Oryctolagus cuniculus: one gene and its partner. The protein of the gene in region 1 interacts with the protein of each later gene in a biochemical or structural test. Links are inferred from orthologs where the notes say so. Each region holds a gene or a part of one and is shown in the gene's direction. Other genes may lie near its edges.

Region 1 (15,226 bases):
CCTGGCTGCTCCACTTCCAATCCAGCTCTCTGCTAAGGCATGGGAAAGCAGTAGAGGATGGCTCAAGTGCTTGGGTCCCTGCACCCATGTGGGAGACCTGGAAGGGGCTCCCTGCTCCTGGCTTCTGATCTGCAAAGCTCTGGCCGTTGCAGCCATCTGGGGAATGAACCAGTGGATGGAAGACCCCCCCCCCCCCGCCCCTCTGTAACTCTGCCTTTCAAATAAATAAATAAATCTTAAAAATTTTTAAAAAGATGGTACATGTTATCATGCATGGCATGTATTATCAGTGCATTTAAATTGCACTACGAATAATAGCTGACAGTTTTGAGTGTGCCAAGCACTGTGCACAAGCACTTTATGAGCATTGCCCCCTGTTGTTCTCTCAGTAGTCTACAGGGTAGTTTATAAATAAATAAATGCTTATGTCTCCCATTCTAGAGCAAAAGAAGCTCAAGTTCATGTTCATACGTGTTCACGAACTTGTCCAAAAAAGTCAGCAGCGAAATTTCTAATTCAAGCAGTTTTGTTTCAGAAGTCACACAAATAACATTATTTATTTTTCAAAAATGTATAGGACAAAAAAAAAAAAAAGAAAACATGTATAGGACATCTGAAATAAATTTAACCTTAACAGTTAACAAAAATGTACAGGATAGAAAAAAAGATTATCAAGCTTACACACCAGTCCTTCCCCCTACCACTGCTTATATGCAGTTTTGCTTTTATAGTTTCAGTTACCCTCAGAAAATCATGGTCTGAAAATATTAAATGGAAAATTCCAGAAATACACTTCATTAATTTTCAAGTTTATACCATTCTGAGTAGTGTGCTGAAATCAACCTACTCTGTCCTGCCCAGGACATGAATCATCTCTTTGTCCAGTGTGTCTGCACCGTATATGCTACCCAACCATTAATCACTGAATAGCTAAACTGGTTATCAGATCCACCATTGAAGTATCACAGTGCTTGTGTTCCAGTAACCCTTACTTAGTACACCAAAGCTATATCGCAATGCTTATATTGTTCAACTCCATTTTTTCATGTAGGCATTGTATCATCTCATATAACCTCAAGTTGAAGGCTAAGGACAACATAAGATATTTTGAGAGAGACCACATTTCACATAATTGTTATTTTTTTTATTTTATTGTTAGCTTTATCATAATCTCTTACTGTGCCTATATTTTAACTAAACTTCATCATCGTATGTATGTGCAGGAAAACATATATATAGATATGTGTGTGTGTGTATATATATATATATATATATAGTTCTTTGTCACTATCTGTGGTTTCAGGAATTCACTGGAGTTCTTTGAATGTGTCCCCTGCAGATAAGGGGGGAGAACTACTGTACTAGAGGAAAAAGATTTTAAAACTTTTCAGAAAGTTTTGCACAAATAGAGGCAGACTTTCCCTGTGATTCATAAAATAACACTGAAAACATGCTTGAAAGGTAGAACCACGGGAGCGTAACACTGATTCCTGCACGGGTGCTTCTTTTCACGCCCAAGAGTCTCCGCTCTCTAGCCTACCCTCCTACCCTCCTGGCAGCTCTGGCAGTGGCTAAGCTGAAAGTGACACAGGACATCACATTCCTATTAAAAATACATGGTACAATGCATCTTGACCTATTTGATCCAATGCTTCCAGACTTCTTTTGAATCTAACACTATTCTAAGTTGAAGATCTATTTTCCACAAACACCGCTTTGATAAAACCTTTGGCTTTAGGGGTTGAGAAAAGGAGAAAAGAATTGTCCCACACCTTTCCTTGCCTTCTGCTATCTTTTGTTTGGCTGGCATGTGTCAATGCCGGGGGACCCTTTTCAAGCGTTGTTTTTCGTGATTTGAGGGGCAGAGAGGGAGAGAGAGGGACGCTTCCATCTGCTGGCTAACTCCTTACATGTCTGAAACAGCTGAGACTAGCTGGAAGGCGGGACAGAAATTCCAACCAAGATTCCACATGGGTGGCAGAGACTCAGCTTGACCCATCACCTGTCACCTGCTGCCTCAGGGTGTGCATTAGCAGGACTCAGGAGCTGGAAACAGAACTCAAACCCAGTGTGATAGGGGATGCAGGTGGTCTAAACAGGTATCTTAAGCACTAGGCCAAATGCCCGCAAAACAGTAGATTGGCCCTTTCTTGGGGCTCATTCCCCTTAGTGGGTCCCTTGAGGCTTTCCTCCACAGGAAGCAGCTTACCTGCATCAGACAGTAATGACTTTCCTGAGCCCAGCCACTGGGAAGGAGAATCCCAAAGAAAAGATTCCCTTTCCCAGAGAATTATTTAGAGTCCCACAGTGGGGAAGATGAAGATGCCCTATCAGCAAAACATCTATTAGCTCGCTCTCTAAGTTGGTCCCAGATATCACTCAATCATTACAGACTCATAGGCAGCCTTGTTGAGGGTGCAGGGTGGGGGTAGGGGATTCAGCTCTTGTTTTGATCATAACCAAAAAGTTGAGTCCATCTTAGTTCAAGGTCCTATGGGAGGGTTTTCAACGGAAACTATTCAGTACAAGTATGGAACAGGAACACTTTGTAAAGAAGAACCAATGGAAGATTTAGCTGTATCTGTGTGTGCTGTTCATATGAATTATAACTAAGTAGTCAATGATGAGTAACACAAATGAGTCATTATTTCTGAGTATTGGATGCCTTGATCATATAACATCATTTCACTCTTCTGTATGAACACCAATGCAGAATTCAGAAGGGACTGCCAGCAAACCAGCTCACAGAACAGACAGCTCCTGATAAGTGTTTCCTGGCTTCCATCCTCTTAATGCTGGAGTTTGGGTAAGAGCAAGTTGGACGTAACAATCAAACGAAGGTTATTTCATTAACTATTCGCCTCTACTTTCCAAATAGTGCTCCAAGGAATGAAATCACATTTTCTCCTCTTATCTATCTACTCAGCATCAGCATATGTTCTCTCTACTTTTCCTTACCATCAAAAGCTGCTTTAGGGAGACCATCTGATGAATTAGGGATAAATAGGGCTTAAACCATTACTTTTCCTGGGATTATGGCTTTGGAGAAACAAACTACTCAAAGGGATAAAACTCTAATGGCAGAATTTCAGGTGAACTGGAGAAGGGGTTTTTGGTTATAGAGACTTTCTAATCCCAATGGTAATTAGCCAAGTTGATTCTGAGTGTTAGTTTAAGTCAAAAAGGCTAGAATCAGGGCAATCCTTATCCTAGATGTGGACTGGTCTTCTTTATTTAGGTTCTGGGGAAGGGTGTTAAGTTTATTTGTATCCGTGGTATCACATTTGTGTGTGGGGGGGGGGGGGACCCTGGAATGCCAAAGTCCTGCTGGTTGCTCACGGGTATGGGAGTCACTCCATCCTGGTATGCTTTAGGCGGGTGACATTTTTAGTTCAGAGCTATGCCACTAAGTTCTGATCAGACTCATTAGTTTTCCAAAGTGCGACAATTAAAAATAGCTTGTATAATATGCTAACTTTAGCTTCTTATGCAATGGTTACGATTAATATTCATATAAAATAGATACCGAGCTTGGTGTTACTAGCATACCTGCCTGCTTGCCATTCCTTAGCTTCCAGTTTATGCTCTAGCCTCTCTGTTTCAGCACTAAATGTACCTGTACATTTTGGTGCTAATTTTCAACTTAGGCTCTACACCAAGGGACTAATACCTGTGTCAATGCCAGCAGTTCTGGGAGCAGTGACAATGTTCCCATCCCTTAAAAGCTGACCGGAGTTATCTCCAGTGTTTGTCACTTGTGCACAACTCATTTAGGTAAGTAATTCTTTGTGCACTTTATGAATTCTTCCCTTTGGATGCAGGCCAAGAATTGTCTGTAGGGCATATAGCTCTTTACTCAAACTTGATAATAAGCAATTATCTCTGGAATACAGACGGAAGACCTGAACCAGTGCCTCCGGGGACCTGGGGCCCAAAGCACCATCGCTGTACACAGTGAAGCAGAGCAGAGGCGGGGGTGGAGGGAAGGTCTCCCCGTACCCATTCCGCTCCTCCTCCGGGTAAAACAAGGCCGTCTGTCAACATATTTAATGCGGCAACTGCAACAACTGTGCAATATTATGGCTCACGCTCTCTATGCCGTATGTGTTGACAGGACGCTAAAGAGTCTCTCTCTAAACGCAAAAGCCGCCAGGATGAATTACGAGGGCCAGCGCAAGCCAACCGCTGCGCCACCGAAACCACTGGGCTGGGGAGCCTGCGTCGCCTTCAGAGGGCAGCCGGCGTTTCTTCTAACAAAGGCGCGAGCTCGAGGCAATTTCGCGGGCCATTTTCCCCCGGCCAGCGCCAGCTTTGTCTCCGCGCCGGTGCGAGGCCGAACCCTGGAGGAGCCCCAGCTGCGCGGCGGGGCCAGCGAGCGAGCGAGGGCTGGCGTGGGAAGCTCGGCTGGGCCGCTGCGGCGGCGGCTTGCAACCCGAGCGTGCCATTACAAGAAGTTGGAGTGCAGCGGCCGCAGCGGATACCTGCTGCCTGCAAATCGGGGCTGGACTCGAACAGCCCCCGGCGCACCGGCCGCTGTGTACAAAGAAACTCAACCGGCCAGCGCGGCGGCGGCGGCCTGAGGGCTCTGCGTTCCCGGGCCGAGGTCGGCGGCGTCGTCTGCGTTCGCCACGGGCTGGGGAGCCGGCGTGCGCGGGGGGTCACGGAGCCCGCAGGCAGGCCCCCGGGGACCGGCGCCCGAGCGGGCCTCACGCCGCGCCCGGCACGCGAACCCGCGGACGGCGGGGCCCCTCCCCCCAGGCCCCGCCGCCCCCCGCCGCCGACGTCGGCCGCGCGGCCCCCGCGCGCGCGCGCGCGCTGACTGGCTCGCGCCGGCCTCCGGCCCGGCTGTGGGCGGTTGGGGCGCAGCCCGCGGGAGGCCGCCCCGCCCCCTCCGCCGCGCGGCCGCGCGCAGCCTCTCCCCCCTCGCCGGCGGGGCGGTGGCGCCGTAGCCTCCGCCGCGGCCTGCGCGGCGGTCACTCCCCTGCGCCCCAGCCCCACTCCTCCTCCTCCTCCTCCTCCTCCTCGTCGCTCTCCGCTCCCTCCCGCCGGGCCCCTCCCCTCGCCGTCTCTCGCCCGAGCGAAGGTGGCGCGGCGGCGCGGGACGCAGCCTCGGCCCCCGCCGCGGCCCCGCGAACTCGTGAGGAGGACCGGGCTGCCGCCCACCCCAGCCCCGCGCCCCGTGCGGCCGCCGCCGCCGCCGCCGGGGAAGAAGCAGCAGCAGGGGAGTGGCGGCGCGGCGGCGGGAAAGCGAGAGGCGGGCGAGCAGGGAACGCTGCGAGGAACGGACAGAAGGACGGCCGGCCCGACGAGGGCGCCGCCATCGAGCCTGCCCGGCCCCTCGGCTCCGGGCGGCGGCGGCGGCGCGGGCGAAGGGCGCGGCAGGCGCTAGCGAGACAATAACCGGCCGCTCGGCTCTGGGGGCGGCGGCGAGGAGCAGGGCCGGCCTAGCGCGGCCGCGGCCCGCCGAGCGCCCGGGCGGCGTCTCGGCCGCCGCCGCCGCCGTCGGGGGCGCGGGGCGCGCGGGGCCCGGCCGACGGCGCCTCCCCTCCCCCTCCGCGGCGCGCGCGCTGGGGTTCCGGGTTCCCCTGGACGGAGCTGGCTCCTGCCTTGCGCCGAGGCAGGAAGTGAGTTTCGCACGGCAATTCCGGGCGGTGTCACGAGTGAAAAAGTTTTTTTTTTTTTTTTTTTTTTTCCTCCTCCTCTCGGCGGAGATCCTAGTTGGGGCTGGGAAACTCCTGCAAACTCGAGACCAGGAAGCCAGCCCGCATCCCAACCCCCACCCGGGCAGCCTACTCTGCTGCTGCGGGCGGCCGCTGCACATCCGTTCTCACCGGAGAGACTCGGCTGGATGCGAAGTGACTAACGCGGGCGAGGGAATCATGGGCAGCGAAGCCTGGAAAAAGCAGCCCTGAGACGCCGTCCGGCCGAAAGGTAATTTTCGCGAGAAGCGTCTGGAAGACACACAGTGCACGGACCGGAAAAGGGGCGATCCTTTTGCCCAAGTTTCCGTCAGTTCTTTGCTCGGATCGGAGCGCACAGTGTTCTAGGTGGTGAAGTGGGAGAGCTGTGTGTGTTTTGTTTTGTTTTGTTTTTTAAGCCCCGGTCTGCCATCTGGGCTGTGGTTTGTGTAGAAGCGATGGTAAGAATGCAGTGGGACGGGAAGTTTGGGCCGCCTGGAGAAAGAGTGCCTTTGTTGAGCGCGAGCTCCAGAAGTTTTCGTTTTCTGGAGCCTCTGCGAGGTGTGCGAAGCTCCTGTCTGGCGACTTGGTTGGGAGGAAAGTTCCGTCGATTTGCGGCTGTTGAGATGGCTGCCGCGTTTGTTTGTGCTGATAGCGATGGTTTTGGCTTTGGAGTTCATCGCGCAGAGACTGTTTTTGGTTCAGAGCCTTGTTGCGTCTAGTTTATTGGATTTTAGGGACAAGCAACTTTTTGCCAGCTTTAGTTTTCAGGGCAGGTAATGTTTTTTTTTTTTTTCACGTGTGTTAACTTGTCCTTTTCAGGTGTTGACTCCTAAAATATTTCCTTCATTAATTGAAAGCAAGCGTCTGCTAGACTTTTCTTGTGACTGAACCATTAGGATGGAGAAGGAGGGAGTGAGGATTACAGATGAAGGTGTGTAATTAAAACGCAGCTTGATTTGCTCGGACTGCCGTGCAGGTCAGCACTGACTATGTAGGGAGGGAAGTAAAACGCTTCAAAGATTTTCTTGGGAACCACACTGATTGGGATATAAAAAAAGCTGTGCCTTTGAATACTAGGATATTTAGATTTTTGTGTTGGCCCAAATGTTTCGTTCGGTTCGGCCTAATAAGGGAGAGGAACTTAGTGTGGGGCAGGACTCCGTGAAGCGTGACAGACCTACTAGCAGCAGGCAGAGCTCTGAACACCCCTGAGCCAATGGGTAGACTTCCTAGAGTCAACGCGTTTGGGTCATGGCAAACCCACTCCCTGCTTTCAGCGGCGTTTTAGTGTCTTAAGTTTATTTTTTTCCCCAGTACTTTTGTGGTAAAGGTAGTGAAAAAATATTGTATTTGTGAGTAAATGCTAAGAAAATATGATCATCTGTGGAATCATTTTAATATAAATCGATGCCTAGTTTATCAAATACTAGCAAAGTAATTACTGTAAACCCCAGGAGAAAGAGCTGACTTCCGTTCAGAGAGAAAAGGTAAATTTTAAAATCAGGATCAAATTATTTCACAACTTGATATTTGCTACTTCGTCTTTTAAAAGTACTTTTCAAAATGGGAGACTTTTAACTGTATTGCTTTGTTTTTTTTTTTTTTCTGAGAGTGTGATTTCTGTTTTTTTTTTTTAATTGTGAACCATCATATAATTCCTTTTAAGCCAAATTAGCCTTATCAAGGAATTTAAAGTGCACAGCTGATCTACTTTATGAATTCAGACCATGTATTAGGCAGCAAAGGAGGTTGTTGTTGGGCATCTGAAAGAATGGAACAAAATAAATGACATTGAACTTCAGTTTCCTTATATGGTTCATACTTGGCCTCAGAGCAACAAAGCCATAATAGAGCAAGTTTGACCCAGAATTACCACTTTACAAAGGTATTTGTGTTCATAAATTTTATGTAAAAATTATTGTAGCACCTGATAATGACTAAACACCTGATTTTTGATAAAGTTCTTGGTTTCCCCCCTCCTCCTGGAGAAGAATGGTATGTTTGCAGGCAGGCAACACATTTTTAAAAATGAGGTGTTAACTTTTGTAATTATCTTTGGTTCCTTTTTACCTCTTAATGATGCATAACTTTCTTTGTGGTTTACTTAAAATTCTGTTACTTAGCATTAACAGACTAAATTTTAGGTTTTGCACTGTTGAACTGTATATTCCAAAATTTTGTTTAAAATGTGAGGTTTGAAGAGATGTTTAGAAAAGCAGTCAGTTAAAATATTTTAAGTGACTTCAGGATCTGGGTATTCTTAGTGTTGTATAGACTTTCTTAGGATAAATTATGTGTTTACTTATTTGCACAGAATACAATTTAAAAGATATGTTTGTTGAAGGTAATCATGAGTTTTCAGAACTTCCACCAATTCAAAGTACTAAGTTACAGAATCACTTTGCCGCTTGAGGTTAAACTGTAACAAAAATTTATGTATAAAAAGCTTACAGAGGTTCAAATATGGGAGCCAGATTTTCATTGTGTGCTGTTAATTAAGTGATGACTATAGAGACGTATCATTGGTAAATCACTAAAATTCAGTTACTTTTGACCTTGATGATGTTGAAGTATTGGTAATAAATGATAGCTTCTTTTTTCATTTTTCAAAGATTTTATTTATTTGAAAGGTAAAATTACAGAGAGGCAGAGAAGTCTTCCATCCACTGGTTCACTCCCCAAATGGCTGCAGTGGCTAGAGCTGGACTGATCTGAAGCCAGGAGCCAGGATCTTCTTCCAGGTCTCCCACTCTGGTGTAGTCCAAGGACTTGGGACATCCTCTAATGCTTTCCCAGGCATACTGACAGGGAGCTTCTTCTGAGTCTCCCACATAGGTGCAGGGGCCCAATGTCTTGGGCCATCTTCTGATTTCCCAGGCCAAAGCAGAGAGCTGGATCAGAAGTGGAGCAGCTGGGACTCGAACTGGCGCCCATATGGGATCACAGCCAGTACTGCAGAGGTGGCTTGCTATGTCACAGCGCCGGCCCCCTCTATTTTGTTTGTAAAACAGAGTTACAGAGAGGCACAGGCAGAGAAAGCGAGATCTCCCATCTGCTCTTTCACTCCCTAAATGGCTGCAATAACCAGAGTTGGGCTGATCAGAAGCCAGGAGCCAGGAGTTTCTTTCCAGTCGCCCACATGGTACAAGGGCCCAAGCACTTAGGCCATTTCCTACTGTTTTCCCAGGCCATAGCAGAGAGCTGGATTGAAAGTGGAGCAGGGGCTGGGACTGTGGCACAGCAGGTAAAGCCGCCGCCGGCATTGCCGGTATCCCAGATGGGCGCTGGTTCGAGTCCTGGCTACTCCACTTTGAATCCAGCTCTCTACTGTGGCCTGGGAATGCAGTGGAAGATCTTTGGGCTCCTGCACCTGCGTGGGAGACCCGGAAGAAGCTCCTGACTCCTGGCTGTTGCGGTCAATTGGTGAGTGAACCAGTGGATGGAAGATCTTCCCTCCCTCCCTCCCTCTCTGCCTCTGTGCCTCTCCTCTCGTTGTGTAACTCTTGACTTTCAAGTAAAATAAGTTAATGTTAAAAAGTGGAGCAGCTGGGACTTGAATCAGCACTCATGGGTGCTGGCATTGCAGGTGGCATTTTTACTCACTACACCACAGCACTGGCCCCTGGCTTCCTATTTTTGTAGTTAGGTTTGTTTACTTCCTCTATTTTTCCATATTGGTCTCTTGTTTCTTATTTGTATTTTTTTTCCTCTCTTTTCCAAACTTTATCAGACTATGTTTTTCCCTTAAATAAACTGTTCATAACATGCAGTATAAGTGTACTTAATCAGCCCCATTTAATTCTTTTTTTCTTTTTTAATATATTTATTTGAAAAGAGAGGGAGAAGGAAAGAGAGAGTGAGGGATCTGTCCCCTGGTTCACTCTCCAAATGACTGTGGTGGCCAGGGCTGGACCAGGCTGAAGCCTGGAGTTTCATCCAAGTCTTCCACGTGTACGCAGGGGCCCTGGGGCCACCCTCTCCTGCTTTCCCAGGCATATAGTAAGGAGCTGGGTTGGAAGTGGAGCAGCTGCATGGGTTGCTGACATCATAGATGATGACTTAACCCATTGAATTCTGAATATTCTTTTTGCATTCCAGCTCAGTGTACATAACTGTAATTAAGCTTGATATTAATGTATACTTTTTTATTTGAATTTCATTTTTCAATTATCTTGTTCATCCTTAATGTCCCCAGAATTAACTGTTTCGGTCATATCAGGTCATATATTCTTACATGTTAAGACCCTCTATAACCCCCTTCTACCTTATGCTTTTGATCTCTTTAAACATACAAACACTGCTCTGCACTTTCCATTTTCCTTTTTGCTCCTGTCTCTTTTCCTACCTCTCAAGTTGGATGTCTTTTTTGTCTGTGTCTAAAATTTACAGTTGTCTTCTGCTTTCATGAAATAAGTGCACTGGAACTCTGTCACATTCTTTATTGTCACTTCAAATTTTGTTCCTGACACCATGGGTAAAGACCTTCCTTACCAGTCTTTATAATTGAAAGTATATGACATTAAAAAATATCTGAAACTTAATAAAATAAGCTACTTATCTGGATATTATTTATACATCTATGACTTTAGATATATATAGAGTGTAGTAGAGGGGCCACACTGTGGTGTAGCAGATAAAGCCACCACCTGAAGTGCCAGCACCCCATATGGGCACTGGTCCTGGCTGCCCGGCTGCTTCATATCTGATCCAGCTCTCTTCTATGGCCTGGGAAAGCAGTGGAAGATGGCCCAAGTGCTTGGGCCCCTGCACCCATGTGGAAGACCTGAAAGAAGCTCTATTGTGGCCATTTAGGGAGTGAACCAGTGGATGGAAGACCTCTCTTTTTCTGCCTCTGTAACTCCACCTTTCAAATAAATAAAATAAGTAATTCTTAAAAGAATGTAGAAGAACTAGAAATACCTTAAAAAGGACATCTTAAGTGATCAAAACAAGCATAATAAAGTCTTGAGCATTATTCATAAATATATTATTCGAAGTCCATTTACTTTTGTAGTGAGGTGTTTCTTACCTTTTTGGTGTCTTGGAAGTGATGAGAAAAGTAAATTAACTGCATTATAAGATTGTGAAAATAAGACATGATAGTAAAGTTATAGAAAAATGGAAGGCAAATGGAATAATTCAGAAAATACAGATGCTCTTAACTTGTGGCAGGGTTACATCCCAGTAAACCCATTGTAATTTGAAAGTACTGTTAAGTCAAAAAGGCATTTGATACACCTAACCTGCCAAGCTTCATGAGTTAGCCTAGTCTACCTTAAATGTGCTCAGAATTCTTACATTAGCCTATAGTTGTGCAGAATCACCTAATACAAGCCTATTTTAGAATGAAGTGTTGGTCATCCTGTGTAGTTCATTGAATACCTGTATGCAGAAAACTCTGGTGACACAGTATTTTGTAGAATGTTGGTTGTTTCTCCTCATGATTGTGTAGCCAGCTGCTGTGGTTTACTGCTGCCCAGTGTCGTCAGAGATTATTGTGCTGCATGTTGCTAACCAGGGAAAAGATCAGAATTCAAATTTTGTTTTAAAGATTTTATTTATTTGAAAGAGTTATATATAGAGAGGAAGAGACAGAGCTTCTATCCACTGGTTCATTCCCCAGATGTCCGCAGCAGTCATGGCTGGACCAGGCAGAAGCCTGGAGCTAGGAGCTTCATGTGAATCTCCCACGTGGACGCAGGGACCCAAACACTTGGGCCACCTTCCTCTGCTTTCCCAGGCCACTAAAGGGAGCTGTATTGGAAGAGGAGCAGCCAGGACAAAAACCAGCGCCCATATAGGATGCTGGTGTCCCAGGCTGTGGCTTTACATGCTATGGCAAAACCATGGCCCCAGAATTCAAATTTTGAAGTGAAATGTATGGCTTTCGCACAATCAGAGTAAAAAAAAAATAAATGATAGGTCAGAACATCAGTAGAATAGTCTGGGACAACTTTGAGCAGAGTGCCTTACATATTTCATTTGCTTGTTGGAGGATTCATTCCGTTACGGTGTAGGAGCCCTAAGGCCATTGTTCTTACACATTTTGGTCTTAGAATCCCTTGATACTTTTATAAGTTATTGAGGACTCCTAAGAGTTTTGGTGTATGTGAGTTATCTATCAGATTTCTTTTTATTAGAAATGAAAACAAATTTAAAAATTAAATATTACAAGCCACTGCATGTTAACATTGTTTTAATAAGAACTATTTTGCTAAATTAAATATGGTTGTTCCTGATATCTGTGCATGGTTGATTCCAGAACACCCTTTCTATTTGGGAATAGCAAAATCTTTGGATGTTCAAATCCCTTATATAAAATGACAAGGTGGGCTGAGCTTTTGGCCAAGAGGTTAAGATAGATACCTGCATCCCATATTGGAGTGCTTGGAGTTACCTCTTTACTCTGGGTCCTGAGTCCAGCGTCTTGGCAGTGCAGACCCTGGGAAGCAACAGGTGATGACTCAAGTAGTTTTGTCCTTGCCCCCCACAATGGAGGCCTTAATTGAGCTCAGATCTCCTTCCCTGGTCAGCTCCGGCTGTTCAGGCAATTGGGGAGTGAACTAGCAGGGAGAAACTTAATATCTCTGTCTCAAATAAAAATTAAACAATACATACAATGGCACAGTATTTGTATATAACCTATACCATTCCTCCTGTATACTTTGAAACTTATCTGCATTACTTATAATAGTATGTCAATACTCGTAGTTGTTATCTTGCATTTGTTTAGAGGGTAGTGACAAAAAAGAAAATATTGCCCATTTTCAGTACAGGTACATTCCCCCCTGCCACATTGTGTGGAAAGGGAGGAATATTTTCATTGTCTTTTTAAAAATCTATTTATTTATTTATTTATTTGACAGGCAGAGTGGACAGTGAGAGAGAGAGACAGAGAGAAAGGTCTTCCTTTGCCGTTGGTTCACCCCCTAGTGGCTGCTGAAGCTGGTGCACTGTGGCCAGTGCACTGCGCCGATCCGATCCGAAGCCAGGAGCCAGGTGCCTCTCCTGGTCTCCCATGCAGGTGCAGGGCCCAAGCACTTGGGCCATCCTCTACTGCACTCCTGGGCCACAGCAGGGAGCTGGCCTGGAAGAGGGGCAACCGGGACAGAATCCAGTGCCCCGACCGGGACTAGAACCCCGTGTGCCGGAGGATTAGCCTATTTAGCTGTGGCGCCGGCCCATTTATTTATTTGAAAGAGTTAGAGAGAGAGAGGAGAGGCAGAGAAAGAAAGGGGTTCCATCTGCTGGGTCACTCCCCAGTTGGCTGCAACGCCTGGAGCTGCGCTGATCCAAAGCCTGGAGCCAGGAGCTTCTTCCGGGTCTCCCATGTGGGTGCAGGGGCCTAAGGACTTGGGCAATCTACTGCTTTCCCAGGCCATAACAGAGAGCTGGATTGAAAGTAGAACAGGCAGGACTCGAACCAGTGCCCATATGGAATGCCGGCACAGCAGGCCGGGGCTTTAATCTGCAGCACCACAGCGCCGGCCCCTATTTTCATAGTCTTTAGTTTATTGTGGATACTCTTTGATACAAAATTTGATGAGTAGTAGTTTTTGTTTGTTTGTTTGTTTTTACAGTATTTATTTTCTGTTTTATTTGAAAGGCAGAGAGACAGATCTTCCATCTGCTGGTTCACTCTAAATGCCCATAACAGGGAGGGCTGGGTCAGGCTGGGTCTCCTACATGGGTGGCAGGGACCCAAGTACTTGAGCCATCACCTGCTTCATCCTTGAGTGTACTTTAGCAGGAAGGTGGATCGGAAGTATAGGAACCAGGACACAACTAGGTGCTCTGATGTGGGATGTGGGTGTCCCAAATGGCACCTTAACTGCTGTGCCAAATGTGAACCTAAAGTAGTAGTCTTTTAAAGGTTAGTTTGAGTGGCATATCTGCAGTTCTAACAATGAACTTTTCCTTTCTTGTTACTTTAAAATTCATTGATTGGTTTGACTTGCACTTTTGATAAATCTGCTAATTCATGATTTGTAACATGCATTGGATAGTTGGAAAATACTGATTCATTGTGTTAAACATATTTTTCAAATGTTAACATGTCATTGGCTGGCGCCGCGGCTCAATAGGCTAATCTTCCAGCTGGCGGCGCCGGCACACCGGGTTCTAGTCCTGGTCGGGGCGCCGGATTCTGTCCCGGTTGCCCCTCTTCCAGGCCAGCTCTCTGCTGTGGCCAGGGAGTGCAGTGGAGAATGGCCCAAGTGCTTGGGCCCTGCACCGCATGGGAGACCAGGATAAGTACCTGGCTCCTGGTTTCGGATCAGCGCGGTGTGCCGGCCACAGCGCGCCAGCCGCGGCGGCCATTGGAGGGTGAACCAACGGCAAAGGAAGACCTTTCTCTCTGTCTCTCTCTCTCACTGTCCACTCTGCCTGTCAAAAAAAACAAAAACAAAAAGCAAAACAAAAGTCATTATGCAGTAGCAGAAAAAAACAAGAGAATTACTTTTTACTCTTATTGAAGATAATCAAGTGAAAGTGGCATTTAAAAATAAACAAGGCTGGTTAAGCCCCTGCTGCGATGCCAGCAATCTATATGGATGGCAGTTCGAGTCCTGGTTGTTCCACTTCAGATCCAGCTCCTTGCTAATACGCTTGGGAAAGCAGTGGAGGATGCCACAAGTCTCTGGGCCTCTGCCACCCACATGGGAAACCCAGAGGAAGCTCCTGGTTTTGATCTGGCTGTTGTGGCTATTTGGGGAATGAACCAGTAGATGGAAGATATCTCTCTGTCTGCTTCTCTCTCTCTCTCTCTCTCTAACTCTGCCTTTCAGATAAATAAAATAAATCTTTAAATAAAAAATAAATCTAGAGTGTGTGATGGTGCTAGTAACTTGATGACATTTTGTTCTTGCTAAGGTGCTAGCAGTTTTACTTACCTTTACCCTTTACTATCAATATAAAATGTCAGTGTAATGGAAAAGGGAAAAATGATGCCTCATCATTATCATGTAAATAGTTTTGACCTCACGGACTTCTTAAAAGTGTTTCAGGGATTCTTTAAGTTTGTGGATTTCCAGGACTTTGAGCCAAAATTTAGGAACTTAGGTCAATGCTGGGGTTTATAGAATTTTTACTATTTTATTTTGTCTTTTGGTATTACATTCTGGGAGAATCTTTTTTTTTAATTGCTCCTTTTTTTTTTTAAGATTTATTTATTTATTTGAAAGAGTTACACAGAGAGGTAGAGACAGAGAGAGAGAAGTCTACGCCGTCGCCGCAGCTCAACAGGCTAATCCTCCGCCTAGTGGCGCCAGCATACCGGGTTCTAGTCCCAGTTGGGGTGACAGATTCTGTCCCGGTTGCCCCCCTTCCAGGCCAGCTCTCTGCTGTGGCCAGGGAGTGCAGTGGAGGATGGCCCAAGTGCTTGGGCCCTGCACCCCCTGGGAGACCAGGAGAAGCACCTGTTTCCTGCCTTCGGATCAGCGTGGTGTGCAGGCCACAGCACGCTGGCCGTGGCAGCCATTGGGGGTGAACCACCGGCAAAGGAAGACCTTTCTCTCTGTCTCTCTCTCTCTCACTGTCCACTCTGT
Region 2 (14,563 bases), on another chromosome or scaffold:
TGTGGATGAGTCGGTGTATGATCGAGCAGCCGTGTTGTGATCTGGGGCTTGTATTTTGGCTGTGCTTGTGTTTTTAATTGGTCTTCTCAGTTTCACTCCCTTGAAGTGGAGGGGTCTGGAGCAACAGACCGGGTCCTGAGCGTGGCGGCAGTGGCCGGGCTCTGTGAGGTCGCCCCTGTCGCTTGGCTCTGTCACGTGCTGCCTTCCTGCCGTGCAGAAGCGTGGAGCCGTGTTGACATCTGCTGTAGTTTGTAATTGGGCAGAGTGTCAGGGGGGCTCCGAGGGTTCTAGCCAGCCACGGCCTTGAGCCTGAGCCTCTGCTGTGAGCAGCGGGAGTGAGGCACAGTTGGTGCTGCCAGGAGGGGCAGGGTCCCCGTGCAGGCGCTGGGAGTGGGCGTGTAGTGGAGCAGCTCCCGAATGCCCAGGAGCCCGAGACTCGGCGTCCTTGGTGCTGACTTCTGTCTCGAGGAGCGAGGCCGTGGCAGACGATGGAGAGCTGGGTCTGACTGATGGGCAGCCCTGGCTGCTGTCACGCCGGTCCTCGGGCTTCCCTCCGAGGGAGCCGCTCGCAGCCCTGCCTGACCAGCATCTCTGCTCATGGTCAGCAGCTGTCCGTGGGGTCATTTTTCTCGTGCGCTCTGGTGCCCACTTCCCCTGTGGCCTGTCTTGAGGCCGTGCGCGGGTTCACCACAGCCCCGGGAACGGGCAGTGCGTGGGGGAGGGAGGGCCGGGGACCCTCTGCGGGGCCTGTGGACCCACAGGTGAGTGTGACCCCGCTGCTGACCCCTGGTCTTGGCAGTGATGCTCAGAAGTCAGCGGAAGTCCTTTGGGGTCGTTTTGCAGTTGTCACATAGACTTAGTGCGTGGGAAACGGGTTTTCAATAGCCGTAACTGGTACCTTTTACAAATAATGTTCAAAATGACTGTTAATGTGAATACAATATGGGATAGAACTGGTTAATTGCTGAGTGCTTAGAGAATCAGCTTTTGGCGTGGGTATAATTTGTAAAAGATTTCTTAACTGAGAGCTTTACGACAGCATTTTTAAAAAGGAGCAGTTCGGAAGCTGTTGTGTTTAGATTTATTTTTCAGCAGTAGCAGTAGCTGATGTAGTCAGTGCTAAGGGTTACACTAAACTTGAGCTTGTCAGGAAGACCCAGCCGTATGTAAGCAGAAATGACCGTTGCTGCCGTTTTTTAACGATGTTTTCTCTCTTCCTTCTCTTCCCGTCACCTTTTGCTTCCGTCCGTGTCTGGTTGTGGCTCTCCTGTCCGCCCTCCCCTCTGCCTGTCGCATCTGTCGCCCTCCCGTCTTAGCGTGGCAAGGCACTGACCTGATGCATAACCACGTCTTGGCTGATGATGACCAAGCAAGCCTAGAGCCCCTGGGGCGGCGCAGTAGCCTCTCTCGGCTGGAGCCCTCAGACCTCTCGGAAGACTCTGAGTATGACAGTATATGGACAGCCCATAGTTACAGAATGGGTTCTGCATCTCGTAAGAGCTGTTGCTCATATATCTCTCACCAGAACTAACGCACTCTCAGCCGTTCTTAACCAGCTTGTGGTACCGCAGCCTGCTTCTCTAGGTGTTTTCTTGCTGTCCCTCGTCTCCTTTATGTGACATTTTAACAACTCTTAGAGTGCTCCTGGTATTTCCCATGTACCTGTGGAGGCGTACTTGCCAATCCGAGTGTGCGTTCACGTTCCTGGCCACTGGAGGGGGACGGGGTGTTCACCCGAACATTCACGCCTCTACCTGAGGGTGCTTTCCTTAGTGGGGAGTTGTTCTGTAGCGCCTCAAGGTTTGCTTTTTTAATCCTCAGTGTAGCAGCTGCCTCTTTCTTTTTGGATACAGCTGTATGAACACTTTTATATTTTATACTGAAACACACAGGGCTGGCATCTGAGTGCCACCACAGAGGGGACGCTGGCCTCGTACACAGGGACCTAAATGAACACACTGACCCAGCAAGTGGTGGAGGGGGTGGGGGGTGGGAGGCATGGTGGCCGTGTCCCTGGCTGTGCTCCTGTGGCCATGTGGCATGTGTGTGGGCTCTGGGCAGTGCCAGCTCCCACGCGCTCCGAGCCTGTCTCGACCCCACTGCTCTGCTCTGCCGTGCGCGGGGCAGAGGAGAGGGTGTGGTCACGGCTCAGCCATCCAGGCTCGTCCTCACGCCACACTACTGCCTGCAGCCCCGCCCGAGCCCCAGGCTGCAGCGCTGGGCGCCTGCACACAGAGAGGCCTCGGTGACGACCGCCGTCGAGTGCCTTGGCCTCCGTCCTGGCGGGGCTGCGCCCTGACACGCCCCCGTGGGAGCCGTGCGCTCCGAGGAGGCTCCCTCCGGAAAGCCCCGTTCGCTGCCCTCACGCAGGCTGACTCCGCCTCAGACGCAGCTGAATGTGGCCTCGAGTCCACCCCCGGCCCTGGCTCGAGGGGCAGAGCGCGGGTCCCCCACGTGCTCTGTCGGTGTTAAAGTGCAGCCTGTGGCTGTGTCTGAAGGACGCGGGAGAAGCAGCTGCGGGAAACGAGGCGCCACACTGACGGGGAGTAACGTCTCTTCCTTTCCTCAGGGCAGCTGCGAGTGCAGGTGCCGGGACGCCGCCCCTCCTGCACCAGGCCCACGTGCTCAGTGTTGCGGTCTTGACCAGTGCTGTCTCCTGGAAGCTGGCCCCGCTGCTCCCAGGCCCCAGGGTGCTAGTGGACTTGGGCAGTGGCTCACTGTGTACCACGCGGGCAGCTCATTCTGCGTGGGACGAGGCCAGGGCAGAGTCGCCGGGACGGTGGTCACGCCCAGGTGTTTGTCCCCGCGTAGCCGCTGACCTGCTCTCCCCGCTGGAGATTGCGTATTTTTACACCAAGTGGCAGAAGCAGGAAGTTGAGGCAGGTGCGTGCAGACTCGGCCCAGTGTTGGTCTGCAGCATAGATGGGGTTTATCTGTGGTGCAGCCAAACAGCAAATGGAATTTTTGGAGAAATGCAACTTAGAAGTTTATATATTCACTCCAGACCGCACTATGGATTTAGAAGCGGCTGTGTTTTTATGTCACATAGGACAGCCATCTTTTCTGATCCTGACCGTGGAGTAACTTTGTGTGCTTAGGAACTGTAATAACTCGTGCACTGGCTTAGACGCCTTTGCCTTGCCTTAGTGAGCCTGGCCCCCCGACGCCCCGTGCTGGCTGCAGCACAGCACTGAGGTGCAGTCGCTGCACTTGGGTTTTCTTAGTGCTAAGTATCGTTTGGTTGTCTGACAGAGACATTTTAGTGAACTCCTACACACCAAAGTTCAGACAGTTTCCCATCATTCCTTTTTGTACCAGTCAGAACCATCCCGACGACGGTTTCTGTTGAGGGTAAGATCACCACAGAATACTAGCGTGAACTTCTCTTCATTTGTATTTGTTTTGAGTGTCTGGCACCATGAGCTTTTGTGACCTGGTGACAAGTTCTTGTGCTCCAGGTCCAGAAAGACGTCCCCGGGCGGCCGTGGAGCCGGGCGGCCCGAGGGCCGTGTTTCTGCTCCGTGGAGCTTCGGTCCTGCTGACGAGTGTCCTCTGTTCATGCAGTCCTGTGGTTGCTCCGTGGGCAGCCGGGGTCGCGCCGGCCGTGGGGCGTTGCCGCCGTTGCCGCCGAGCGAACACTGGCTGCAGGAGGACCCCAGGCTCTCTGCGCTGCGTGTTTTGCGTAAAATTGCAATACACAGCGATGTGTACATAGTGGCATCAGATCTGGAACAGAAGTCTGTATATACTGTGCTCTCTGTCTGTGACTGGGAAAAGCCATCTCTAGTACCTGACTCTTTGAAACCCGACTGGCTGTATATTGAATGTAGCATTGCATTGTACAGTGTGCACATTATCGTCTGTGGTTGCTATGACAATGAAGTGTTTGTTTTATATTTTAAAAAGACATCTGTCATGTACAGCTGGAATAAATTTTGCATTTGCTAGCCTGTGGCTTTCCGTGTTTGTTCGTGGCGGGAGGGAGCAGCGCAGCTGCAGTGCCGTGGGGTCGGCTTCGAGGCGGCCCCGGCTGTGCCGCGCTGTGCCGCGCCGCGCCGCGCCGGCCACCCTCAGCCATCCCCTCCTCCTTTTTTTCTTTGCTTTTTAAAGCGAATCCTCAGTCACCGGGAGGTTTTCTTCAGAAAGATGCGTCATTGTCTTTTGTGCGTAAGTGAAAAAGCGGCTCTTCCAGCGCGGTTTTGTTTCTGGAAAGTGCACGTCCAGCTGGCCGAGAGGTGGAAGAGGAAGCCAGATGAGAGGGAGAGCAGCCGGGGCAGGCGCCGGCCGCAGCCGCTGAGCGCTCTGGGGGTGCCGACTCGGGGTCCCCGCTCCTCCGACAGTGAGTGAGGGTCCTCCGCGCGAGCAGCAGCGTGGCGTGGCCCAGGGACGTCCGCAGGGATTCTGAGAGTGACCTCCCTTTCAGTCGTGCGAGCTCGGAGCAGGGAGGTGCCGAATGCAAGACGGCTTGCCGGCTTTGCCACACGTGCACTTGACTGCTGGGCCGAGGGGCGGATGCTCCCTTTCTGACAAAATGACGCTCTTTAGGCTTCAGCACGGGCAGACTCACGCACGTGTGCCCGCACGCCACACGCGTGCCCAGACCGATCTGTCTGCGGGGCTTAGTTGTGAAGGTAAGACGCGGGCCCCCGAGCTCCGGCGCGAGGCCTGCTCTGTCGCTGCCTGGACGGGACACGGCGTCTGAAACGCAGGTGTTTGGTTCGAGCTGTGCTTCCCAAACCAAGGCCCAGGTTCTTGCGGTGCCTCCGGCGTGTCCCCAAGCGCTGGGTCACGTCTGTGAGGGAGCGAGCGCCGAGCCCATGCTGGCCGGCGTCTCTGGATGAGCACGGTGAGCGGGTCCCAGCCTGCAGGCCCCTCCTGGAGTCCTGTGGCTGAAGTGCGGGCTCGGGTGTGAGTGCCCGTCACTGTGTGTCATTGCTCCCGCTCCCTCTGTCGGGGAACCGTGCCAGCCACGGCCAGCCAGCGGTGTGGCGCATTTCCGGCACGTCTCAGACCACGGCCCGAGAACCACGAGGCGTCCTCGGTGATGCCGGGAAAGAGAAGGCAGGATAGAGAAGGCCGAGTTAGAGTTCCGTGCGTATCTCTGGGCGAAGCTCACCAAAGCCTGGACCGTGCTGAAGCGCCTCGTGGCTCTCAAGTCGTGGCCAGAGGACACCACGCTCCCGGAGTGAGGCCGTGAGTCCTCTTGGCCCCTGGAAACCAGGGTTTGGGAAGCACAGGCCTCGGCCGTGCTGGAGCCGTCGGTGCGTGAGCACCTGCTGGCTCACCGGCAAGCCTGCAGCTGGCGTTCCCGCGCCCGTGCGACTCGGGGCCTCTGCCCGCAGTAGGACGCCCACAGTCGTCCGTCTTAGGGCCGCTCTGTTGTCATCAGAGTAACAGAACAACACTCAGGCGCCCGTCTCTACACAGGCTGGTTCCCGAGTCAGCCGTGCTACACGTGCACATTCACGGCTTTAGTCCCTGTCAATCAGCGCGGGGAACCTCCAGCCTTTGTCACTGGAGTTAATCGCGTATTGACAGCATTATTTAGATTGATCCTCGGGGGAGCTCCACGGTTCACCCGCTGTGAGGTGGGGGCTGGGTGGTCAGAGGCGGGCTCGCCCGAGGCGTGCAGGGCGCCCCTCGCTGCCCCGGGGACGTCTGTGGTCTGTCTCACTTGTCGTGGCAAAGCTGTAGTGCCAGGAAGCTAGAAGAGCCAAAGACGATGGAAACGTGTGGACTTGGGTGCACCCAGAGTGCATCTCCCGAGACCCTGTCCCGCCTGCGTCCTGTCTCCCCTGCGTGAAGACGCGGTGCAGGTTTGTGGGGTGGATTCGGAACTAACGCGCACAGCCTCAGCCGTCTGGACCCAGCCTGGACGGCGGGCAGCGGCTGCGGCGCGTTTCCCTCACGGGCAGTCAGGGAAGCGCTGCTCTCGGCGCATGTGCTGCGGACGGCTGGGTCTTCACGAAGCCCTTCGTGTCTCTGTGGGCCGGGGGCCCACGTGTTGATTCTTCCTCACACAAGCATCGCCCCGGGGGCCCACACGTCCCCACGGCACGGGGCCTGGGAAGATGCAGGCTCATCTCGTGCGGCTTCAGGGGGCCCGGGGTACCTGGAGGATACCCGGCTCCCAGAAGGGGCATCACCCTCCCCCCGGTCTTGCAGACCCTGTCTGAGACCCTGGGGAGACTGAGCTGCCAGCCAGAGGGGGTTCTTGAGCCCCGTTCCCTGAAGTCAGCCCCGTGCTGGGGTCGGGCTGGGGCTGGGGTGTGGCCTTGCCGGGCTGCCAGAGCCGCTGGCCGGCAGAAGCCAGTCGTGCACCGTGGTCATGCCAGCGTGAGCAGGAGGGCCAACCGAAGCCTGGACCTTGGGACCCCTGGGTGACCAAGGAGGGGCCGGCAGCCTCTGCTGCCTGAACGAAGTACTTGTGTCGGGAGGGTGGGGCCGGGAGACCTGCCAGGGCCAGTCCCTGTCCCTTGGTGCCACTGTGGGAGTCTGACGCTGCTTGCGTTCCGAGGAGAGCAGGCTGACCGCAGCCGCGGGGGATGCTCGTGGCCGTGAAGCCGTGTCTGCACAGCGCCCTCGGCGTCCGACGCCGGGAGCATGAGGCAGCCTGGAGGAGCAGAGCGAGTCTCCGCCTGTGAGTGCTTTTTCCTGGAGCAGCGTGGATCACAGCCCCGGGCCGCCTCCCGCAGGAGACGCCGTCTTCCCTCCAGCCTGTGTCTGGCCTTGTGTTTCAGAACTGCGGACGGTGTGTGTGGTCTCACAGCTGAAATAAAAAACCGCTGCTTCCTTGCCTCTTACTAAGACTTGGTTTTCTTCCCTCCACTTTGCAAATGAGTGTCAGAGTCTCCCAGTGCGTCTCAGCGGCACAGATCCGCACCGGAGCCTGCCCGAGGTCGGCCCGGGCAGGCTGCGTGCTCGGGTGCCGGCGCTGGGATCCTCCGGTGTTGTGAACAGCGTCTTTCATGTAGAAGAATGTGTATGTGTCCGGGAATAATAAAGTTTGTGTTAAAAAACCGGCTGCCGAGTGTCGCCTTTTTAGACACCGCTGTGATGTTGTCTGTAGTGTGCAGTGTGCCACTGCCGGGTGCTGAGTGGCAGGCATGGGGGGGAGGGGGTGTTGTCGGGTCTCGTGCGTCGTCCCGAGATTCCTGGGAGAAGGTGATGTCTCGGAATTTGTGACCTATGCAGACACTTGTGGTCAGAGCCTGTGGAAGGCCCCTAGTGAGGTTCAGGGACGCAGGTTTATGCATGTGACTCCCGGAAGGGCGGCGTGTGTGGGTGCGGGAAGGGCGTGCGGAGAGCCGCCTGTCTCGGGGGTCTGGGGGCGCAGCTGCTGGAGGTAGCGTCTGAGTCATGCTGTATAGTCAAGTTGTGTCGCCCAGCTGCCGCGTGGCGTTCACCTGAGCCGTTCTGTTTTTTATTTTCCCTACCCTAGGTTCACGCAAAGAATCTGCTCCACAAGTTTTGCTTCCAGAAGAAGAGAAAATTATAGTGGAAGAAACTAAAAGTAACGGCCAGACGGTGATGGAAGAGAAGTAAGACGTCTCCGCGTTCCCACTGCCCGTGCGGCTCGGGGGCGGAGGGCCAGTGCGGGCTGGGGCTGGGGGGCGGTGGGCCAGTGCCGGCAGGGGGCTGGGGGGCCGAGGGCCAGTGCGGGCTGGGGCTGGGGGGCGGAGGGCCAGTGCTGGCAGGGGGCTGGGGGGCCGAGGGCCAGTGCGGGCTGGGGCTGGGGGGCGGAGGGCCAGTGCGGGCAGGGGCTGGGGGGCGGAGGGCCAGTGCCGGCAGGGGGCTGGGGGGCAAAGGGCCAGTGTGGGCAGGGGCTGGGGGGCAAAGGGCCAGTGTGGGCAGGGGCTGGGGGGCGGAGGGCCAGTGCGGGCAGGGGCTGGGGCGCCGAGGGCCAGTGCTGGCAGGGGGCTGGGGGGCAGAGGGCCAGTGCGGTCAGGGGCTGGGGGGCGGAGGGCCAGTGCTGGCAGGGGGCTGGGGGGCCGAGGGCCAGTGCTGGCAGGGGGCTGGGGGGCAGAGGGCCAGTGCGGGCCGGGTGCTGGAGGGGTCTCCCCAGGCCTCTGCCCCCCCAGCCAGGCTGATGTCCTCATTCTTCTTCTGTCACAGGAGCCTAGTGGACACTGTGTACGCGTTGAAGGATGAAGTCCAAGAACTGAGACAGGTATGTCACTGTTGGTTTCGTGTGCGCACACATGTGTGTGTGTGTGTGTGTTCAATGGGAAAAAAAGGAAAAGCCCTCTGCAGATTAAAAAAAGGACCACGAGGAGATGGTGTCTGTCGCATCCGACCAGTGCAGCGGTGGCTCTGGGCGTGTGGCTGGGCCCGGTGGGAGCTGGGGCGTGGCCCGTGGGGACACTTTTGAGCCGAGGTCTGTGCTGTCGGAAGCCATCTGTTGGGATAATTTAGAACTCAGATCCTGCCCCCGAAAACTCCATGAGGTCCCTGATTCGTCTGTGCGGGCACATGGGCCAGTCAGCAGCATGTGTCACACTGGCCAGGGGTGGTATTGATGTGTATATGTGTGGTGTGTGCATGTGTACACATGTGTGCGCGTGTGTGGTGTGTACATGAGTGGGGTGTGTGATGTGCATGTGTGGGGTGTGTGCATGTGTGGTCTGTGGTGTGTGTTCACGTGTGGTGTTTTCACATGTATGGTGCCTGCACGTGTGTGGTCTCTGTGTGGTGTGTGCAGCGTGCACATGTGTGTACATGTGTGTACATGTGTGTGAATGTGGCATGTACACGTGTGGTCTGCATGTGTGCATGTGTGGCCTGTGTTCACACGCGTGTGGTCTGAATGTGTGCATGTGTGTACATGTGGTTGTGTGTGGTCTCTGGTGTGTTCACACGTGTGTGGTCTGAACGTGTGTGCATGTGTGTACATGTGGTTGTGTGGTCTCTGGTGTGTTCACATGTGTGTGCATGCATGCGCTGTGTGCACATGTGTGTGCATGTGTGGTCTCTGTGTGTACGTGTGTGCATTTGATGTGTGCACACGGCCTGGGTTCCCTGCAGAACCTGGAGAGGGAGGGGTAGGGGAGGTGAAGGCGGCAGCGACGCCGGGGCCGGGGTACAGGGTCCCTGTGGTCAGCCGTTCCCAGGGACGTCCATGGCATTCCCGGCCGCTCCCCGCCCGGTGTGACCCGGCAGGTCTCAGCCCCAGCATCCGGCCCAGCTCTGTGTGCTCCAGGCGCGTTTCAGTGCCGCGTGGGGCCCAGCTTAGCCGCACAGGCGGGCTCGTGGCCGCCCCTGCCCCTCGCGTTGGTGACTGAGGGCCTTGTCCTCGGGGGGTGCCGGGGCCAGAGCTGTCCACCACATCGTCGTGCTGCGTGGACTAGGCCTCGGGCAGCCCCGGCTGGGTTTCAACTGCCGAGGCCCCGGTCCCCGAGAGTGCGTGCGGGGAAGGGCAGCCCCGGCCGGGTTTCACCCGCCGAGGCCCCGGCCCCGAGCGTGCGGCTGGTGGCTGAGGCTGAGCGCTGTGGTGTGCCCGGCCCCCAGGACAACAAGAAGATGAAGAAGTCCCTGGAGGAGGAGCAGCGGGCCCGCCGGGACCTGGAGAAGCTGGTGCGCAAGGTGCTGAAGACACTGAACGACCCGGCCTGGGACGAGACCAACCTCTGAGGGCCGGCCGCAGCGGGCCGCACTCGGGAGGCGCAGGCGCCCAGGGCCCCCGGCACCGCCTCCTGCCGTAAGTGCAGAACCAGTGCAGAGCCCGGCTTCCCAGACTGTTGGGATGTGACGGACACGCGTGCCCTGCACCTCCTGCCCCCGACCGCGGACCTGCGTGCTGCGACTCCCTCCCCACACGCCTTCCTGGCGGCCTGCACCCCTGCCGTGCGCCCACAGCCTGACCTCAGACCCTGTGCGCAGGCGCTGCAAGCCCGCGGAGCGGCCGCCCAGAGACCCGGCCCCCACGCCCCGTGGGCTCCCGGGCTCTTCTGTGGCCGGTCTGACCACTCCACGCTGCACGGTTCCATCCTCCCCCGAGAGTTCCAGCACTTGTAAATAGAATGTGTTATTTATTGTGGCCCCAGCAGAGGGAGGCAGCCGGCCTGGCCGCGACGCTGGGAGCTGCTCCCAAGGGCGGGCTCTCCCTCCAGGCTGACTGGGCACAGCCCCGCCCGTGCGAGCCGTCCCCTCGGCAGAAGCAAAGCAATACACAGCCCAGTGCGGCTCAGTGACTGCAGCCCAGAGGCCCCACCGGGGCGGGCAGGGCAGGGAGCCGGCCTCGCCCAGCTCTGCGGGCCTTGGGCCTGGGAGGCTGTGGGCGCTCCCGGCCGGCTGTCCCCTCTCCCTTGGCAATAAGCAGTGGTGACCCAGGGCCTGGCCGGCCTTTCCCTCCTGTGTCGGAGATGACGGAACCTCCCGCAGAGCAGTTGTCGTGTCTCTAGAGACCTGTGTGACAGCGGACGAGACCGCGTGACTGCGCCTGCTGAGCCCTGCCTTTGACCCGGCAGCCTGGGGGTTGGTTCTGTCCCCGCACCCCTGCTGACGAGGGCACCTTCTCCTGCCCCAGCCCTGCGGCTGCGCGGCCCCTAACCCGAGTCGCCAGCGCTCTGTGTTGGCGTTTTCTACCTGTCTGTCTTGTCTTTTGGTGAGCTGCTCTCCCAAGCGGCTTTCTGGTGTTGCCCAGGACGTGCGGCAGAGGCGGGGGCTGTGTGCCGGCAGAGCCGCTGTGCCCAGCAGGCGTTAACTCAGGAACAACTGCCCCGCCCCCCGTGCCTCTGCCAGCCGTCAGCTGTGGTCTGTGGCCGGGGTGGGCCCCTCCAGAGCCTGCCTTAACCGGGGAGGAGGGCCGGTCCGTGTAAAGCCTCCCCTGAGCTGAGCCGCGCTCACCGTGGCGGCCGTGGGCCCAGCGCCTCCTGGATCAGAGACGGGTCTGCAGGGAGGGCTGCCCTCTGGTGCGCGGCCCTGTGCCTGTCGCCCAGTGACCTCCGGAAGGGGAGGAGCTGGCGTGGACGGGCAGGGGTGTGTGGCCCACAGCTGTCCCTGCGGCAAGTGAGGCCGGGCGGGCGTCTCTCCCTGCACGTGGGAAGCACTTCCTCTTGGAACCGGCGTAGAGATGTAGCATCCGGGACTTCCCGGGCCCCGGGCACCTGCCTGGGCTTGTCCTGGACTCTGTCCATGCCAATCATTCTCTCCACCTCGGGGACCTTGGACGGCATGGAGCAGCCCCTCCTTGCTGTCACAGACCATGTCCTGGTGTCGACTGCTACAGTGTTCGCGCTGCGTTGTTGGAATCATTAAACTCGTTATTTTTCTTATGTCACAAAACGGTCCTCTCGGTTGTCTTTGGCGAGTCTGACGCGTGTGTGCCGCCCTCGCTGTTGCCGTTGGCTTTTTGAGATCTGGAAGCTCCGGTGTGGGTTTTGATGCCAGAGAGATACCGCTGCCGCCTGAGAGTGTGGACGGGAGACTGGGAGACGGTGGACGTCCAGGCGGCTGGGCCTTCGCGGGGGTGGCTGGGAGACGGAGGACCGTTGCTCGGGTGCCGGTCATTCGGCCAGGGCGAGGTCCTTCCTGAACGGTGAGCGGCTGCAGTGCCGCCCTGCGCCCGGGGTGGCCCAGAAAACCCTGTCCTGCAGGGCCCTCGCTGCCGGGGCCGTCATCTTGGAACATGGGCGTCGGCGGGGGGCTCGGGAAGTGCTGTGGGGATGCCTCTGCCGGCCTGGAGGGGCGTGTGTCGCCGGCCGGTCTTCAGACGACACTGCCGCTTGCGTCTTTCCCGGCGTCCAGGGGCCGGCAGCCACGTTCCCCCAGGTGCAGCAGCGAGGCCCAGGTGGGCCGAGAGCCCGGGCCAGCCCCGTCCTGGCGTCGGCCTGGGTGTGCTGGTGATGGAGGCGCGGGGAAGGATGGCCACGGGGACCCGGGACCCTGCGAGGTCTCTGTGTTCCCCGGGCCTGGCCGAGGTGCCCTGGGGACCGTCTCATCGCCAGCCCACAGGAGGCCAGCGTGGAAACTCGGAGGTTCCATGGTGTCAGGCACGCGAGCGGTCGTCTGGGCTGTGTGCTGGTGAGGTGTCCAGCGGCTGGGCCTTGATCTTCCTGCTCGTGGAGAAGACCGGGACGTCCCACGAGGATGGAGAAACTGCTGTCACCCCCGAGCCTTGTCCTCACCCTGCAGGGGCCGCCGGTGCCGAGCGAGCGAGTGCCGTGGCCTGGCGTGTGCGTGTGCTTGCACGTGTGTACACGTGTGTGTGGGTGCGTGTGCACGAGTTGTCTGCACCGCAGGCGTGGCCGTGTTGGGCCCTTCCACTCTCACTCCCTGTGGGACTGGCTCGGTGGCTCTGAGAGGGACGGCCGCTGTTGCAGAAACGCACTCTGACCACCCTGAACACGCAACCCCAGGTGTGCCGGCCTGTGGCTCGGGGTTTCGTCACCGCTCGGGACATCCGGGCCCCATATTGGGCGAGTGGTGCAGGTCCCGGCTGCTCCTGAGCCAGTGTCCTGTGAGTGCGGCTGGGAAGCCGTGGAGGGTGGCCCAGGGGCCTAGGCCCCGCCCCCACGCGGGAGACCAGGGTGGGGCTCCAGGCTCCCAGCTTCAGCCTGGCCCGGCCCTGGCCGCTGTGGGCCTCGGGGGAATGAGCCGGCAGGTGGGAACTCTCTCTGCCTTTCAGATAAAATGGAAACAAATAAAAAAAGTGAAAGGCCTGTGTAACCGTGAGACCGTAGCTGCATGGTTACTTCCAGAAACGTCTGCTTTAGGAGCCACGTCCTGGACAGTCCAGGTGCTCGGAGACGGGGACATCCCGGGGTCGTTCAGAGACTCTGAAAGGAAATGGAACTGAAAATGCTGCTTTTGTTGCAAAAAAGTTGAAATCCTTTAGGGTTTTCACAAGAACGTGTTTTTGATGAAGTTTTCCGAAGACCTCTCTTACGCATGGATTGCAACATCACCTGCACCAAAACCAAGTTTCAGCTCCGCGTCCCAGGAACTCTGCACTGCCCTGTAGGCGCGGCCCGAGGCGTCCTGCTCTGCCGCTCGCTCGGGCTGGCGCCGTGGACGCCTGGGGTGGGCCATCGGGAGGGGCGGGCTGTGACCTGTGCCCTCCTTGCCTCCGGCTCTGTCCTCTGAGAATTACCGGTTTGCAGCGACAGATGCCAGCCCTGGGTGTGCAGCCGCGCCCTGCCCAGCCCTGCCCTGCCCTGCCCTCAGTGTGCAGCTCTGCCCTGCCCAGCCCTGCCCTGCCCAGCCAGTGCTTGTGCAAACACACAGGGCTGTGTGGGCCGCCTTGCCCCCAGCTGCTGGCTCATGGTTGCCTCAGCTCCTGGCTGTGGAGACCACTGGATGGGTGTGACCCGGGGGTCTGCACCGTGTACATCTCAGGCAGGAGGGGTGATGGAGTGAGAGACCCAGAGGATGTGGTTTTGTGCCAAGAAAACAAGCAGTGGCCCCGAGGTCCAGCAGCCCTCTGTGCGGACGAGGCCGTGATTCAGGTGCACAGTGCTTCCAGAACAATCCGCGCACACAACTGCACGGCCACTCGGCAGCTCTGGTCCTCGTAAACCCAAACACACGCCCCCTCCCCCGGCCTGCCGCTGGCCTCCCCTGTGGGCTGCAGGGGAGAAGTGGGAGCGGGGTCTTCACCGGGGTGGCACCGGCTGTCCGTGGCGCCTCAATGGTCCAGAACGAGGCACGGGCGGCCCACGCCCCTGCTCACGTCTGCATCCTTGCAGGAGGAGCCTCTCCCGCCCCTCTCCCCTAACAGCCAGATGGAAAACACGCTGGTGACTCTGCAAATGTGAAGGTAGAAGCAGGAAAAACTGCGTACAGAGATATCCAGGGGAGATGGAGTTAGAAGTCTATTCTGGTATAAATCCACGCACAGCTTTTCCGTAATCCATGCTGGCCGTGAGCTTCTTGAAGACCCCCAAACGTAGTGACAGATGGGCCGACGCGTGGGTGGGCAGGACAAGCTCTGCTTGTGAGACGAGCGCGGCCCCCTGAGGCAGCTGGTGTGTGGGGTGCACACGGACCCCCTTGGCCCGGAAGCGCTGAGTTCTCGCCGTCTCGTGCACTTTCTCAAAGGCACTGGGCAGAGGGCACTGCCCCGTGTCGGGGTGGGGGCCAGGGTCTGGTGCCCTCTGGGGTGGAGCCAGGGACCAGAAAGACTGGAATCTCACAGGTCCTCTAAGGGGAGTCCTGGTGGGACATGGCTCCGTCGCAAACAGACGTGGAAGAAGGCGGGGGCCTCCAGGGTGTGTGTGTGTGTGAGAATCTCCCGTCCACCCCTGGAAGAGCGTGGACGAAGAGCCCCGTGGAGCTGCCGTCACGGAGCTGTGCCGTGGAGTGTCCGTGGTCAGTGCAGTGGGAAGCGGCTGTGGTTTTGGGGAGAAGACAGGAAGAGTAATGCAGGATTCAGAGTCTGGGTGCATGGCAAGGGGTCACTGCAGGGGGGAGGGACACGGGGAAGGCAGGGTGGAGGGCAGCGTGGCTCCACGGGACACACGCCCAGGCCTGTGGTGGGGGCTCCACTCCAGCTCAGGGTGGGGAGGTGGTCGTGGGCTGACCCAGGCTCGCCGACCACCTGGGTGACCCTGGGGCTGCCACACAA

What was found.
Region 2: the proteins of ERBIN (region 1) and ARHGEF7 interact in a test that uses a peptide from one of them, tested with the Homo sapiens proteins (2 studies listed by BioGRID and IntAct). The link is inferred for Oryctolagus cuniculus from reciprocal best matches to the Homo sapiens genes ERBIN and ARHGEF7.

The regions. Positions count from the first base shown.
Region 1 is NC_091445.1:86,860,744-86,875,969, forward strand, and holds the start of ERBIN (erbin), read left to right. Parts: upstream 1-5,669; 5' UTR 5,670-5,931; intron 5,932-5,962; exon of another isoform or gene 5,963-6,136; coding exon of another isoform or gene 6,137-6,139; intron 6,140-6,500; 5' UTR 6,501-6,606; coding exon 6,607-6,612; intron 6,613-15,226. UniProt on the Homo sapiens protein: Acts as an adapter for the receptor ERBB2, in epithelia. By binding the unphosphorylated 'Tyr-1248' of receptor ERBB2, it may contribute to stabilize this unphosphorylated state.
Region 2 is NC_091440.1:2,003,330-2,017,892, reverse strand, and holds the end of ARHGEF7 (rho guanine nucleotide exchange factor 7), read left to right. Parts: intron 1-1,316; coding exon 1,317-1,493; intron 1,494-7,441; coding exon 7,442-7,541; intron 7,542-8,115; coding exon 8,116-8,170; intron 8,171-9,507; coding exon 9,508-9,630; 3' UTR 9,631-11,283; downstream 11,284-14,563. UniProt on the Homo sapiens protein: Acts as a RAC1 guanine nucleotide exchange factor (GEF) and can induce membrane ruffling. Functions in cell migration, attachment and cell spreading. Promotes targeting of RAC1 to focal adhesions. May function as a positive regulator of apoptosis.